Linked DNA regions of Macaca mulatta. The protein of the gene in region 2 interacts with the protein of the main gene of each other region in a pairwise test. Links are inferred from orthologs where the notes say so. Each region holds a gene or a part of one and is shown on either strand. Other genes may lie near its edges.

Evidence for each region.
Region 1: the proteins of LZTS2 (region 2) and TTC23 interact in binary tests that used the Homo sapiens proteins (3 or more experiments, as listed by UniProt). The two-hybrid records come from large-scale screens. The link is inferred for Macaca mulatta from reciprocal best matches to the Homo sapiens genes LZTS2 and TTC23.

Annotation. Positions count from the first base shown.
Region 1 is NC_133412.1:89,485,726-89,493,572, forward strand, and holds part of TTC23 (tetratricopeptide repeat protein 23), read right to left. Parts: intron 4,895-7,847; 5' UTR 4,875-4,894; coding exon 4,695-4,874; intron 1-4,694. UniProt on the Homo sapiens protein: Participates positively in the ciliary Hedgehog (Hh) signaling.
Region 2 is NC_133414.1:113,060,923-113,068,769, forward strand, and holds part of LZTS2 (leucine zipper putative tumor suppressor 2), read left to right. Parts: intron 1-294; exon of another isoform or gene 295-561; intron 562-1,209; exon of another isoform or gene 1,210-1,639; intron 1,640-2,495; exon of another isoform or gene 2,496-2,601; intron 2,602-4,582; exon of another isoform or gene 4,583-4,712; intron 4,713-5,114; 5' UTR 5,115-5,156; coding exon 5,157-5,564; intron 5,565-6,128; coding exon 6,129-6,788; intron 6,789-7,847. UniProt on the Homo sapiens protein: Negative regulator of katanin-mediated microtubule severing and release from the centrosome. Required for central spindle formation and the completion of cytokinesis.

The DNA of each region.
Region 1 (7,847 bases), on a different chromosome or scaffold from region 2:
TACATGCTCACCATAAAGTGCTGAAAGAAGGTGGACTGTGGCATTTTTTTTCTATAGTAACATGTTTCTTACTGCAAAAATAATGTATGCTCATTGTCAAAATACGGACGAGCAAAAAGATAAAAACTAAAAATCACCTGTAAGTTTACCCCCTAGAGATATCTAGGCAGCTAAATATCCCTTTATTCTTTATTTTTATGAATCTATATATTTTTTCTTTTTCTTTTTTCTTTGTTTTTTTTTTGAGACGGAGTCTCGTTCTGTCACCCAGGCTGGAGTGCAGTGGTACAATCTCCGCTCACTACAAGCTCCACCTCCCGGGTTCATGCCATTCTCCTGCCTCAGCCTCCCGAGTAGCTAGGACTATAGGCGCCCCCCACCATGCCCGGCTAATTTTTGTATTTTTAGTAGAGACAGGGTTTCACCTTGTTAGCCAGGATGGTCTTGATCTCCTGACCTCACGATCCGCCCGCCTCAGCCTCCCGAAGTGCTGGGATTACAGGTGTGAGCCACTGCGCCTGGCTATTTTTTCTTTTTCAAAAATAGGTTCATAAGCTACTTGCAGGTTTACAGTCTGCTGTTTTAACAATATATGAATAACTTCTCATGTCATCTTCTATGATATAAGTTTGAATGGCTCTACAGTATTTTATTATATGATTATATCATAACCGTATTACTCAATCCACTCTTTATTGGGCATTTAGGTGTCTGCAAATTTTTTACTCACTGAATATCCCGTATGGATACCTTTGCACACACCCATAAACATTCCCACAAAATAAATTCCTCCAAATGGGATCGTTGTGTAAAGGATATGCAAAATTCTGAGGCTGTGAGTAGCTATTGGTGAAGTACCTCTCCAAGAGGTTGCACCAGTTCATACTTTCAACACATCATATGTGAGCAGAAATGCCCCTTATGTTGAACCGAGTACAAATTGTGGAATTTTTGTTTTGGTTTTAGTTTGTCAATTTGTCAGTTGGCCCATTTCTTCTGGATTTGGTCCACATTTTTCCCCCAAATTGATGAGGCTGAACGTCTTCATGTGTTAGCTGGCTGTTTGTACTTCTTTTGGGAATCACCTTTTTATTGCCTCTAGACACAGGAAGTTTATGGAATGACTTCTTTGGAGAGAGAGAAAGAGAACAACAACTACAGTGTATGAAAGAGAAGGAAATGACGACAACATCACGGAATCCAGACAGAAAAAAGAGGGAGATCTGTTTTGATAGTGAATCTGTCCCAAATACAGATTTCCAGCAAAGAGGACTGTGCAGGCTGAGTTGGGCTTCCCTGATAATAACCTTGGTTCTCAGGACCTGAGCGGGGTTAGAGGTATACAAGAAACAGCTTGCCCTCCCTTCACTTCCTTATGTTATAAGGCATGGTCCAAATATCCCTATTGGTTTTCCAACCTTTATTCTACCAGTCCCAGTGGCTTTAGCAATAGGCATTGGTAAGGGGCAGACAGAAGACAAGTATGAAGTAGCAAGGCAATTTCAAAACTGGGAGGAGCCTTGGAAATAATCTAATCTGGTCCCCTCAATTTAAAGATGAAGGAATATAAGGCTGGAAAGTTGAGATGATTTACCAGCAAGTGGTAGCATCAGGAAGTGGTTAAACAATGAGGGGATGGATTGAGGACTCAGGAGTCAGCTTGAAGGGTCTCCCATTGGCAGATATGGAATAATCTGAGCTTCCAAGAAAACAATAGGTTGTAGTGTATTTGAAAAATACAATTTCCTGAACCCATACTGATAGGAATAAATGAATGATAAATAAGCTGTGAAGAAAGAAAAGCTCTTCCTTATAATAGAATGCCAACAAACAAATGTTGAAAGCATGTGGAAGTCAGCGACTGGCTCTGTGACAAACATCATAGTAATAACTGATTCAGGTGAAAATCATCAGTGAACACTAAAACTGACGGAGTGAAGTTTTAAATATATACATAGTCTCAGTGAATCTCCCCACAAAATACTTATTAATTACAAAGGGAAAAATAGCAATTCTGCAGTAAAGAAACCTGCCACACAGCACCTTAACCAAATGTTCAAGGTTGGCATCACTGTCACGAGACAAATAGACATTCTGCACCTCCTGACAGGACGCACTAAGGAGCGCCCCATGTCACACCTGTGGTATTCCTGCTCCAAATGTACAATCTGAATAGAATCATGAGGAAGCATAAGACAAACTCAAAAGGAAAGATATTCTACAAAACAATTAGAGTACATATTTCCAAGATATCAAGATCATGAAAAACAAAGTAGGTTAAGCAACTGTTTCAGATTAAAGGAGACTAAAGAGACATAACAACTCTATTTAGCATGAATTCACAGACTGAACCATGGGTCTGATTATTTTCTGTAAAGGACATTATTAAGAAGAAATATAAACAAGGTTTACAGATTAGATAATAGTATTATACTGACATTAATTTCCTAATTACGATCACTGTACCGTGGCTATGTAAGGGAATAGCTTTATTCTTAGGGAATAAACACTGAAGAATTTGGGGGTAAAGGGCCATAATATCTATAACTTACTCTCAGTTCAGAAAAACAATGAGAGTCAGAGAACAAAGCAACACAGCAAATGTTAACAATGAGTGAATCTTGTGCCTTTTCTGTAAGTCAGAAATTACTTTAAAATACAAAATTACCAAAAACCTGATATTTTAAAAAGTAAATTACATCATGTTAATACCTTGCTGAAAATATTTTTAAGGCCTTCCAGGGCACTTAGCTGGAAACCTGCAAGGCCGTAAGTGAACTGACAGCCTCTCTCACTATGTTTAATGTCAGCTTGCAGCTTCTTCTCCTTGCTTCAAATATGTCCTGCTTGTGCCTACCTTGTAGCTTTATGTGTGCTATTTCCTCTCCCTAGAACTCTTTTCCCTCAGCTCCTCCACACTGGCTCCTTCTCTTCCTCAGGTCTCACCTTATCTTCCTGGAGGCCCTCCCTGATCACGCTACCCAAGACAGAGCCACTCTATGTCCTCCTTAGCACTTATCACAGTCTATAAGAATCTGGTCCATTTACAACGTCGATCGCCTCTCAGGTCCATCAGGGTATGTACCTTGTCTGTCCTATTCACCATTGTATCCTGGATTCTTCACCAGAACCACAGAACAACGACATGTTTAATACCATTCTAGATACACAGAAAATAAGTTAATTCTTTACATTTGTTAAATGCCTTTGGGCATGAGGGCTTAATTCTTTTGCAGAAGTCTGGTTGAGAAAGGCTGCCAGCCTAGAGCCTACAAATAGTAGGTACCGAGTATCTGTTGCATAATGAACAAGTACAACCTCAAAACCAAATTTGTGCTCTTTCTCTATAATCCTGGTCTTTCTCCTGTATTCACTATACTGATGAAGGTCATGGGCAAGTCTCCAATCATCCAAGCAGACTCAGACCTTGGGTGGTAGGAATTCTACACACCCCATCTTTCTCACTCTCACATCCCCATTCCCTATGTCCCCTCAGTCATCCAGTCCTGTCCCACTGACTTCATTTCTAAATTCCTTTCAAAAGAGCTCAGCATTTCTATTGCCTCTGCCACGTGTTGTTCAGGTCCTCATTATTGGAGGATTATTGCAAATATCCTCCTAACTGATGCTCCTCTTCCAGTTTTACTCTTTTTTTGTCCATACCTTTCATAGCTATGGGAGTGATTGTTCTTAAAATCAAACCTGCTCATGGCATGCTTCTACTTATAACCTCATGGTAATCCTCCATCATCTTCAGGGGAAAATCAAAACTCTTTCACTAGGCCTTGAGTGCCCTCTGGGCCTCAGTTCCTGCCCATAATCCAGCTTCATATCTTGCCCTGTGTCACTAACACATTAGTCCCAGACAGCTCCTTATAGTTCTCCAAACAGACTGCACTCCCTCAGACCTTTGGCTCTTGTCTATCTGCTACCTCTGTCCAGAACATTTTGGTCCTCTTCATCACCTGTCCAACTCCTAAGCACTGTTTACTAATGCAGTCTACGTAACTCCCATCCCAAGAAAGTGTGCTTTACCTGCTGTCCCTCTACCACCTCCAGGCTCACTGCCCACCCCTTTCTGTTTTGTATCTATGTCACTCGAGCTCTCACAGAACTTACCAAACTGACTACCATTATCTGTCCCCCATCTATCTTCCCAACCAAATCCTGAGTCCCTCCAAGACAAAGACTGTGGCTTTTCTTTCTGTGCCCCTGGTACCTACATGGCACCTGGCACATATTAGGCATACAATAGGTATTTATGATGAATGGATGAACAGGACCCAACACATAAGAGGTGACAGAGAAATGCCTACTGAATGAGTTAGTGAGTGAGTAAAACTTTCAAGGAAAGAATGGGAAAGAAGCATGCAGAGAACAAGATCTGAGATTATAAGGAATTATAAGCTCTATGAGAGCAGAAGCTTCATCTGCTTTGTTTGTGTTGTATCCCAGTGCCCAGACTTGGCACACAGTGGGACCTCAATAAATATTTGTTGTTGGCTGTGCCAGCCGCTGTGCTTGGAGCCTAGAGATACTACATTCATTCATGTTATAACAAAGGCACTGTCTTACACACTCTCTTGTACCAAACTGCTGAGATTAGAAATGTAATCCAAAACATTCTACTTCTCTTGATTATACCTTATAGCTCAAATCCCAGAGTAGAAATACAGAAACAAAAGTCTCCTTACTTCGTGACTGTTGGAATAAGACTTTGCTTTCTCTTCACAGAGGTGGAGTTTCTCTCGAGGAGGCTGGAATAGTGCTGTCTGAGGCAGCTTGTTTTGGAACTTCTTACTATTAGTGATGCTAACAGCAGCAACAACTTCATCTAGGTGGTTGGATATGTGGGTTTCCTGTGATTCTTGCATAGTTTTACATTCATTGTCTTCTAATTTTAAAATAAAAAACAAAGATGTTAAATGATAATTTACATAGTTATTTTTAGAAATATACATTTCAACACTATACCATAATTTCTTTGAAATTAGTAGTATTATATCCCAAGATTATGGTGGCTACTACTGACCTGCTGATTTCTACTTTCAACTAAATTAAACCTTCTTTATGTATATGGACACACATATATGTACACATACATATACACACATACATACACATGTATATATAAACACACACACACATAAATGTATATGTGTGTATTATACACATACATATGTACGTATATAAAGTCCAGTAGAAATTAGCTTAGCACATACATATGTATTTATATGTACATATATATATAAAGTCCAGTAGAAATTAGCTTAGCCCAAACAGTTCTCAATGACCCCAGATTAAATCAGCTGAAGCCCAACTGACCCTGAGGTAGAAAACAAATAACTGTTGTTACAACTTTTACTTCTGGCCAAGATGAAGTAATAGTAACTACATTTACCCTCTGGCCTGAAATAACCCAAAACAAACAAATAAACAGCCCACAGAACAAAGGATAAAACAATGGTTTCAAGAAACAAGACAAGCAATGAGAGAGCAATTCCTGAGAGATGGAAAAAATAAATCACCCCAGTTTATTGCTTTGAGAGAGTTTCCAGGAAACAGCACAGGGAGAGGGCACCCAGAAGTTACCCCAGTGGACTACCTGAGTTGAGGAAGTAGAGTTGAGAATTTGGGGAGACCAAGGTGACTAGAACTGACAGAACAAATTACTGAAGAGGAGAAGGCTCCAGAGACAGAGGAACCAAGAGATTAGCAGAGGGACACCCTTAAGTCTAGGGACAGAATACTGATTAGCATGTGCGTAAGAAAATTACTTAAGTCTGGAGAAAGAATCCTTCAACGAAGTTACAGGGAACAGTGTTTTGTGCTCACATAAGGCTGGTGCCTGTTGCCAGCAATCAGACTGAAAAAATTTCTAATTCATGAGGCATTAGATAGATACTCAGAAGTCTTTTATCTCAGTAGGGCTGATAATTAGCTGTAGACTGAACACTGCTCAGATCACCACACAGATCATAAAAAGTAAGACCTAAAAGGATCAAACTGTTTCCAATTGACTTGATTGCACTAGAGGACAATACTCAAGGATATTCATAGGAATACTAAAATAATCAATACCTAACAAGGTAAAATTCACAAAGTCTAATATCCAAAGATTACCAAGCATCCAAAGAAGCAGGAAAACATGGCCCATAATGAGAATAATCAATCAATCAAAACTGACCCAGAATTGACACAGATGTTAAGTTAGCAAATAAAAACATTAAAACAGTTATAATAATTGTATTCTATCGGTTTAAAAAGTTACATAAAGACATGGAAGAAATAAAAAAGACCCAAATGGAACTTCTAGATAGAAAAATTATGTGTGAAGATGAAAATGCGTGGGATTAATGGCAGATTAGAAACTGCAGCTGAAAAGATGAATTTGTAGACATAGCAATAAAAATTATCAAAAACAAAAAAAAAATCAGTGGGCTGCAACACAACTTCAAGTTGCCTAATATATATGTCATTTCAGTCCCTAAAGGAAAGCAGATTGGAGGAGGGACAGAAAACATATTTGAAGAAATAATGGCCAATATTTTTCCAAATTTAAGAAAAAGCATAAAGCCAGAGATCCAAGAAGCTCAATGAACATGAAACACAAAAAACATGAAGAAAACTATACCAAATAAAGTCAAAACATCATAAACAAATTGCTTAAAATTATGATACAGCAAAAATCTCAAAAGTAGAGAAAAAGGACACATTACATATAAAAAATAAAGACAAAGATGATAACAGATTTCTTAGAGGAATAAAAAGCAAACAAGTATGGAAAGAAAAAAGTTGGCAACCTTAAATTCTGTACTTGTGAAAATACCTTTCAAAAACAAAATTTTAAGTAATTTATCACCAGAAGACTTGCACTACAATGTTCTCAAAGAAACAGGCGTGAGCCACGGTGCCTGGCCTGTTTTTTTTTTTTTTTTGAGACGGAGTTTTATCTTGTTGCCCAGGCTAGAGATAGAGCAACGGCTCTATCTTGGCTCACCACAACCTCTGCTTCCCAGGTTCAAGTGATTCTCCTGCCTCAGCCTCCCAAGTAGCTGGGATTACAGGCATGCGCCACCACGCCCAGCTAATTTTGTATTTTTAGTAGAGACAGGGTTTCTCCATGTTGGTCAGGTTGCTCTCGAACTCCTGACCTCAGGTGGTGATCAGCCCGCCTCGGTTGCCCAAAGTGCTGGGATTACAGGCATGAGCCACCACACCTGTCCTGTGTCTTAGTTTTAACAAAAAAGTTTAAAAAGTAAAAAAAGAAAATAAAAAATTTTAAAAATGGAAAAAAGCTTATAGAGTAAGGACACAAAGAAAGAAAAATTTGGCCAGCCACGGTGGCTCACACCTGTAATCCCAGCACTTTGGGAGGCCAAGGCAAGTGGATCACAAGGTCAAGAGATAGAGACCATCCTGGCTAACATGGTGAAATCCCATCTCTACAAAAAAACACAAAAAAGTAGCTGGGCATGGTGGCACATGCCTGTAGTCCCAGTTACTCGGGAGGCTGATGCAGGAGAATTGCTTGAACTTGGGAGGTGGGGGTTGCAGTGAGCCAAGATCACACCACTGCACTCCAGCCTGCACAACAGAGCGAGACTCCATCTCAAAAAAAAAAAAAAAAAAAAAAAAAAAAGAAATGATCAAAGGGCCTGATAGATATTTCTCAAAAGACATACAAATGCCCAATAGGAGTATGAAAAAATGCCCAAGATTGTTAATCATTAGAGAAATGCAAATTATATCCATGAGATTTCTTCTTACACCTGTTAAAATGGCTATGATTAAAAAAAGAAAGATAAATGTTGGTGAAGATGTGGAGAAAAGGGAATCCTTGCACA
Region 2 (7,847 bases):
GGGGGGTCCGCACTTGGTGGGTCGCCCGCGAAGAGTCCAAACAGGGAAGCGACACGAAAACGCACGCCGACGGGCCCCAAACACGCGTGCACAGACCCACGCCCGCACTTGGGACACGCGAACACACATGCAGTCGGAAAGGACGCGCCCAGTTTTCTACCCTTGCACTCCCAGGGACAGCGCCAATCAGCCCGCGCGGACCCACAGCGGGCAGGGCACTCTGCGGTCGCGCATTGGGTGCGGGAAAGGGGCAGCCCCGTGACCGCCGACGGGGGCGGGCCGGGTGGGACGCACCCAGAGGTTCCTGCTTCCTGGCCGCCCACAGGTGAAGACGAAGACGTAAACAGGCGCCGGGCACGTGACAGCTCCGCACACCAGTGGCCTGTGCCCCCAACCCCACCACGAGGCGCGTTTGCTTGGTTCCAGGCCGGACGGCGTTCCATTCTCCTCCTGGAGCCGGGATAAGCCCTCTCCCAGGAACCGGAGCACAGCGCCCCCTGGAGCCGGGGCGGAGCAGGAGGGCCGGGCTGCTGGGCAGGGCTGGGGTTAACCTGGGCTCCTGTACGTCCTTCCCCCAGCACATTCTTGGTATCTGCATCCCCGAAGGTTTCGGAGACAGGCCCTTGATGGCAGTGGACAGCTGCCCCCGCCTATTCCCGCCAGCCCAGAGAGCAGCTGCCTGAGCGCCTGCGGGTCCCCTTCCTACCCTCACCTCCACTCCTTGCCGGAGTAGGAGTCTCCTCCCCCGCAGAAAATGCATGAGTGTAAACGCCCCCTCAATACCAGAGTGGGCCTAGACCCCTAGAAAAAGGAGGACGAGCCCCTGCCCCCAGGGAATGAGGGAGTGGGCAGTAGCTCGATGCCTTCTTCCCGCCCCACCCCCTACCCCTACACACACGCTGAGCCCAGCTGCCGCCTGAGCTGGGCAGGCTGCCAGAAAGGGGAGGAGGTTCTCGGTGCCCCAGGAGGCAGGGATCAGGGCAAGGCCAGAGGAGGGGGCTCTGTTGGGGAGAGGGGCTCAGTCTGTTCTTGTGAGGCTGAGGGTCTGGGGTGAGTCTGAGGGTGGCTGGGCTGTGTTTCCCTTTCCAGGGAAAAAGAAAGAAAAACAACCCTGTCCATGGAGCTAAAAATAGAGCTGAGAGCCGGCCAGGGCTGTGGCCTGGAAGGGGGGGATGCTCCTTCCTGGGGCCCGGGCGAGCTCTGGCAGGCCTTGGCCCTGCGGGGGAGGGGGTGGTTAGGGGAGAAAGGCTGTCTTTGCCCAGGGATGCAGGCATCAGCTGACCTGACCGGGTCACCGAGACCCCTAGGGGAAAGGCTGTGCGGTAGAATATTTGCGAAGCATGGCTGTAAGAAGTTGTCTGTGTGAGTGACTGTGAATAGAGGCTGTCAATGCGTGAAAGATGGTTAGGAGACTAAGTGCATTTGAGACAGTGACTGGGTGCGAAGGACTGCGGATTGTTGTGGAAGCCTGTGCCCAACAGGCCTGTGACACCGTGTCTGTGTGTGAGTTGGACTGGAAGATTATGGAAAGAAGGAACGCGGACCCACGTGACAGCTGAGACTGCTTGTGGCTGCGTGGTGAGGCTGCATGTGGGAAAGGTCGCGTGGGTGTTAGGGAGACTGTATTGTGTGCGAGAAGGTGAGAATATTTGCGACCTTGAGAAAGTGGAATGTTGTCTGCCGTGCGGCTCCTGTAGGTTTGGGCTGTAGGCTTGGACCGGTTTGCCCCAGTGATTGTTGGGGAGCCAGGGGCCGCTTCTCTCCGAGAAATGACCTCTGTCTTAGCAAGCGGTCCCGAGGGGAGGCTGGGGAGCACGGGGCCGCGCCAGAGGCCGGCCTGGGTTCGCGGGGAAAAGGGCACCGTACCGGGGAGTGGGTCAGGGCCCGCGTGGTGGGGGGCGGCTGGGTGTGTTCTCCGAGGGGGCCGCCAGGTGGCGCCGCCTCTGCGAAGCCCAGGTTGCCGCCTCCAACCCGCCCCTGGTGAGGCAGGTGCGGACACAGCCTCGGCCTCCGACTCGCGCTAGGGCGCGGGGCCCCGGCACCGGAGAGTGGGGGACGGCCGGTCGTCGACCTCTCTCGCTTGGGACTCTGAGGCTGAGAGCGTGTCAAGGAAGCTTCGCTTGGAGAAGCGGAGGGGGAGGGGCGGCCGCCGCCGTGCCGTGGCCCTTTGTGCTGGAACAATGACCAGCTGCCGCTGGCCCCGGGGCCCCGGCTGGGGCGGAGGGTGACCACCGCCGCCGCCGCGTCGAGCCGAACCGAGCCGCCGGACACGCAGTCACAAGGCGTCGGAGGCAGGGCTCCCGACTGCCGCCGAGCAGCCCCTACGTGCGCCCCGGGCGATTCGCGTGACGCGGGTGCCTGCGCGTGTCCCTGCGCGTGTCCGCGTCCCGGGGCGGAGACGCCCCTCGGACCCTCCCCCGCGCGGCGCCGCCCACTCGCACTGGGCGGGGGCTGGCCAGGGCCGGGGGAGCCGCGGAGGCGGGGCCGGGCCGGGCGGCTCCGAGTGGCGGTACGCGGGCCGGGGCCGGAGCCGGAGCCGGGCGGCGCGCCTGTGGAGCGCTGGGGGCGGCCTAGGGCTGAGCATGGAGCAGCGCGGCGGAGGTGAGGGGGGGCCGGGTCTGGGAGGCGGCCTGGGGAGTCCCCAACTTCTGCGCGGTGGAGTCCAGCCGGGAGACAGCGTTCTCCAGACGCCCCCACTTTGTGGAAGGGGGCCTGGGTTCTGGAGGATGGATCGGGGGCTCCCGGCTTCCCGCCGCCGAATGGGAACTCGTGATCGCAGACTTGACCCCGCTTGACTGGTCCTTGGAGTTTGGGTGGCAGGGAGACTTTCCCCAACTCCAGATCCTTCGCCGGCCCTGAACCAGCTCCAGCCCTCAGCTCCCCTCAGCCCGCTAAAAGGGGGGTGCTCCTGGGCCAGAGTGATTGCTCAGGGAGTGCTGGGGAGAATGAGGGGTTCCCATCTCCCACAGCCACAAACGCATTTCTCAAAATGGAGCCTCCACTTGCCCCTCCTTCTCTCCAAGAGCGGGAGCCGGGCTGGCTGGGCCTGGCTTTCCAGACTCCTGGCTCTGGCTCCCTGGGCGTGTGGCTCTCAGGGCCCAGCTCTGTGGCACTTTGGACTTAGGGGCCCTCGGCTCCGTGGGGTTGGGGGCCCTGGCTCACTGGGTACGCCTGACTGTCTCCTTGTCGGCCTGACCCTCGGGCTTCTCCAAGTCTTTGTCTCTTTTGGGTCCCTGTCTTTCTCTGAGCCTGTCTCCTTCCTTCCGTTTTCACTTTCTCCGTGCTCGCTGAAGTGGGGAAATGCAACAGAGGTGCCAGCCCTTGGCCCCCTAAGAAGTCCTTTCCCCACTGTTCACTCCACGCCCTGGAGTGGGCCCAGAGAGGGGAGGGGAAGGGTTTTTCTATCTGCTCTGCTGGGCGCTGGGATGTGTGGGGTGGTCTGAGCCCCCACCCTGCAGAGGGGCCTGTGATCGCTCCCTGCGCCCGGCCTACCCCTCCCCCAGCTCCCCGCAGCTCCTGCCCCAGCCTGGACACCTCTTCCTGGTTCGCAGTATCTTTTGACTTGGGTGGGAAGGAAGGCGGTGGATTTAATGGAGTGCATGCGAGAAAGAAGGGGAACAGATCAGGCAAAGGAGTTAGATAATGTCCCACCTCTCCCCACATGGCAGAGAGGGAAGGAAACAGGCTCCCCCCACCAATGGGCCCTCAATCCACCCAGGCTCCCACCACTCTCATACCTGCGTGCCCACGTTCACAGGTTCCTCTGCACACCCTGGTGCACTCACCTTCCTAGTCGCACACATACATAGGAGATCACACATAAACTCATGAACTTACTGACAAAGCTGTCCAGGCACCATCTCTCCCACACACCACAAACTCACTTGTTAGATCTGCATTTATAACTTTCACAGGCTTTCTAATGACCCCTTACCCACATACTCTTGTAAGATATACACATGTGAATTCACACATGAACTCATGTATGTGAATGTACTGATACATCAAACATGTGTAGACTCACATTCACGATGCTTTCACGCACATTTTCATATACACGTGTTCATTTCCACGCTCCTGTGCATGTAGTCACACAACAAATAACTAAATGCACACATTCCTACTCCCAGTGCAATTCTCTGTCCAGTTCTTGGCCCTGCTCTGCATGATGACTTCAGCAGATGCCTAAGTCCTGGTCATCAGCGGCCTCGGGACTGGGACTAGGGAGGGGGTTCCGGGTGGAGGCTTGCAGCTGCTTCCAGGAAGGAGCAGGGCCTGGGGAGGTGGAGCCATCTTGCCTGGGTTCTGTGGAAGTGAGGTTTTGGAGCAGCCACTAGAGGTGAAGGCGGGACTTCTACCTTCCTCCCCTCGGGGTTAGTCTGGGGACCTTCTGAAGCTGTAGGGTTTCAGAGAGGTTGGCAATGGGGTAGAGCCTGTGGAGGTTCCTTTAGGCCTCACTGATTGGGTGTGCAGAGGCTAGGAGTTGTCATGGAAAATGTATGAGCCTGCATCTACCTCTGGGAGGCAGGAGACCCCAAAGGACACCTGTGGACTCCCTAAGAGTGGTGGTTTTCTTATTTAGCCGGATCCACAGAGGCAGTTTAGCTGCCTCACTGGGAGAAACTGAGGCCCAGCAGAGGGAGGCAGGGCACTGACTGACTTTGGCTCTTCGTTCCCTAATTACCATCTGAGGTGCTGATTGCACCCCTGAGGTACCTCAGCCCAAACTGCCCACCTGACTTAGAGGACCAGGGACCTGTGCTTCAAGCTGGTAGAGAAGGCCCCTCCCTCACCTGAGTCCTGGCCTCTGTGGGATGCAGGATTGGGCTTAGGCCTGGGTCTTTGCTGACAAGTGGCTCTGCAGTAATCACCCACGCCTCCCATCCCTCTCAGCATCTCTGCTGAGTGGATTCAATCCTCAGCCCTGTTCAGACCAGCATTGGACAGTGTGGTCTGGGGCCCAGGGGGAATTGAGGTTCATTCCAGCACTTGAAGGGGGAGTCTCGGTGGGGATCAAGGCTTGTTACTGATGTCAAGGAGGTGTTTGGTCAGGATCAGTGGGTCAGGAGGGGTCTCTAGGTGGAGGGACTCTGACACCACTGCCCTGCTTACAGGTCACCTGCAAGGCCGCTGGCCAGGCCTGAGCCTTTGCCACCATGGCCATTGTGCAGACTCTGCCAGTGCCACTGGAGCCTGCTCCTGAAGCTGCCACTGCCCCACAAGCTCCAGCCATGGGCAGTGTGAGCAGCCTTATCTCAGGCCGGCCCTGTCCTGGGGGTCCAGCTCCTCCCCGCCACCACGGCCCTCCTGGGCCCACCTTCTTCCGCCAGCAGGATGGCCTGCTGCGGGGTGGCTATGAGGCACAGGAGCCGCTGTGCCCAGCTGTGCCTCCTAGGAAGGCTGTCCCTGTCACCAGCTTCACCTACATCAATGAGGACTTCCGGACAGAGTCACCCCCTAGCCCAAGCAGTGATGTTGAGGATGCCCGAGAGCAGCGGGCACACAATGCCCACCTCCGCGGCCCACCACCGAAGCTCATCCCTGTCTCTGGAAAGCTGGAGAAGGTGAGGACCAGCTCTTCCTTGTGGGCCTGGGTAGAACGGGAGTCCCCCTTGGAAAACTGGAATTTAGAAGCTTATATAGAGGAAAGAGTGTGGGCTCCAGATTCACCAGACCTGGGTCCTAATCCCAGCTCTCTCTCATTCTGCATGTGTGACCTCAGGGAAGTCACTTAACTTGAGCCTCAGTTTCTAGAACTGACGTGAAGGTCAAATAATGTATAGCATAGTGCCTAGCATGTGGCATGTATACAGTTGTTAAGTGCTAGTTGCTTATGTTCTGGTTATTTCTGCACCAGTTATATGTTTGGCTTTGGTCAAGGCCTTTAACCTTGCTGAGCCTCCATTTCCTCATCTGTAATATGAGAATAGTGATCATATTTAGATAATGGGGATAAACCTTTCAGATTGCTTGACACAAAGCTGACACTGGTGGCCACCTCCACCAGTGGCCGCAATTGTTACGAATATATGGGCATTGGGGACCCCAGATGGGAGGGCAGGGAGTGTCATAAGGGTTCTGCAAGATTGGGCAGCTCATCTCCACTGTCACATGGCACCTCATTTCAGAACATGGAGAAGATCCTGATCCGCCCAACAGCCTTCAAGCCAGTGCTGCCCAAACCTCGAGGGGCTCCGTCCCTGCCTAGCTTCATGGGTCCTCGGGCCACCGGGCTGTCTGGGAGCCAGGGCAGCCTGACACAGCTGTTTGGGGGCCCTGCCTCCTCCTCCTCTTCTTCCTCCTCCTCTTCAGCTGCTGACAAACCCCTGGCATTTAGTGGCTGGGCCAGTGGCTGCCCATCAGGGACGCTATCCGACTCTGGCCGAAACTCACTGTCCAGCCTGCCCACCTACAGCACCGGAGGTGCCGAGCCAACCACCAGCTCCCCAGGCGGGCACCTGCCTTCCCATGGCTCTGGGCGAGGGGCACTGCCTGGGCCAGCCCGAGGGGTCCCTACTGGGCCCTCCCACTCAGACAGTGGCCGGTCCTCCTCCAGCAAGAGCACAGGCTCCCTGGGGGGCCGTGTGGCTGCCGGGCTTTTGGGCAGTGGTACCCGGGCCTCCCCTGACAGCAGCTCCTGTGGGGAGCGCTCACCACCACCCCCGCCTCCACCTCCTTCCGACGAGGCCCTGCTGCACTGTGTCCTGGAAGGAAAGCTCCGAGAGCGGGAGGCAGAGCTTCAGCAGCTGCGGGACAGTCTGGACGAGAATGAGGCTACCATGTGCCAGGTGTGGTCAGAGGCAATGATGGGGAAGGGGCATGGCAGGACATCCCAAGGCCTGGGGAATGAAAGGGGCATTTCCATTTTAGCAGGGAAGAGGGGTTGGGTAGTTGTAGTTGTGACCCCCCTGCCCTCCCCACCAGTTGTCTGGTTTAATTTGTGGAATAGCCAGACGTGGTGGCTCACATCTGTAATCCCAGCACTTTGGGAGGCCGAGGTGGGCGGATTGCTTGAGCTCGGGAGTTTGAGACCAGCCTGGGCAACATGGGGAAACCCCATCTCTCCTAAAAATAAATTAGCTGAGTGTGGTGGCATGTACCTGTAGTCCCAGCTATTTGGGAGGCTGAGGTAGGAGGATCACTTGAGCCCAGGAGGAGGAGGTTACAGTGAGCTGACATTTTGCCATTGCACTCTAGCCTTGGGTAACAGAGCAAGACTGTATCTCAAAACAAGAAACAAAAAACAAAACTTGTGGGGTGGAAAGGAGTCAGAGTGCATGGATTCAAACCTCCCACTGCTAAATACCAGTTTTTGGACTTGAGCAAGTTGCTTAACTTTATTCAGCCTCTATTTCTTCATCTATAACAGGGATATTTCTAGCTTCATAGGATTGTTATGAGGATTAAATAAGGCAAAAGGTGTAAAGTGCTTAGACTAATGCCTGGTATCTAGGAAATGCTATACATAAATGCTTGCTTTTTTTTTTTTTTTGAATTTTTAGTAGAGACGGGGTTCCCACCATGTTGGCCAAGCTGGTTTCGAACCCCTAGCCTCAAGTGAGGCACCCGCCTCGGCCTCCCAAACTGCTGGGATTACAGGCCTGAGCCACTGCACCCGGCCAAGTGCTTTTTTTTTTTTTTTGAGACAGGGTCTCATTCTCTCACCCAGGCTAGAGTGCAGTGGCGCGATTTCGGCTCCTTGTAGCCTCAACCTCCTGGACTCAAGCAGTCCTCCCACCCCAGCCTCCCAAGTAGCTGAAACTACAGGCACACGCCACCACACCAAGCTAATTTTTGTTCTTTGGAGAGGCAAGGTTTTGCTGTGTTGCCTAGGCTGGTCTCAAACT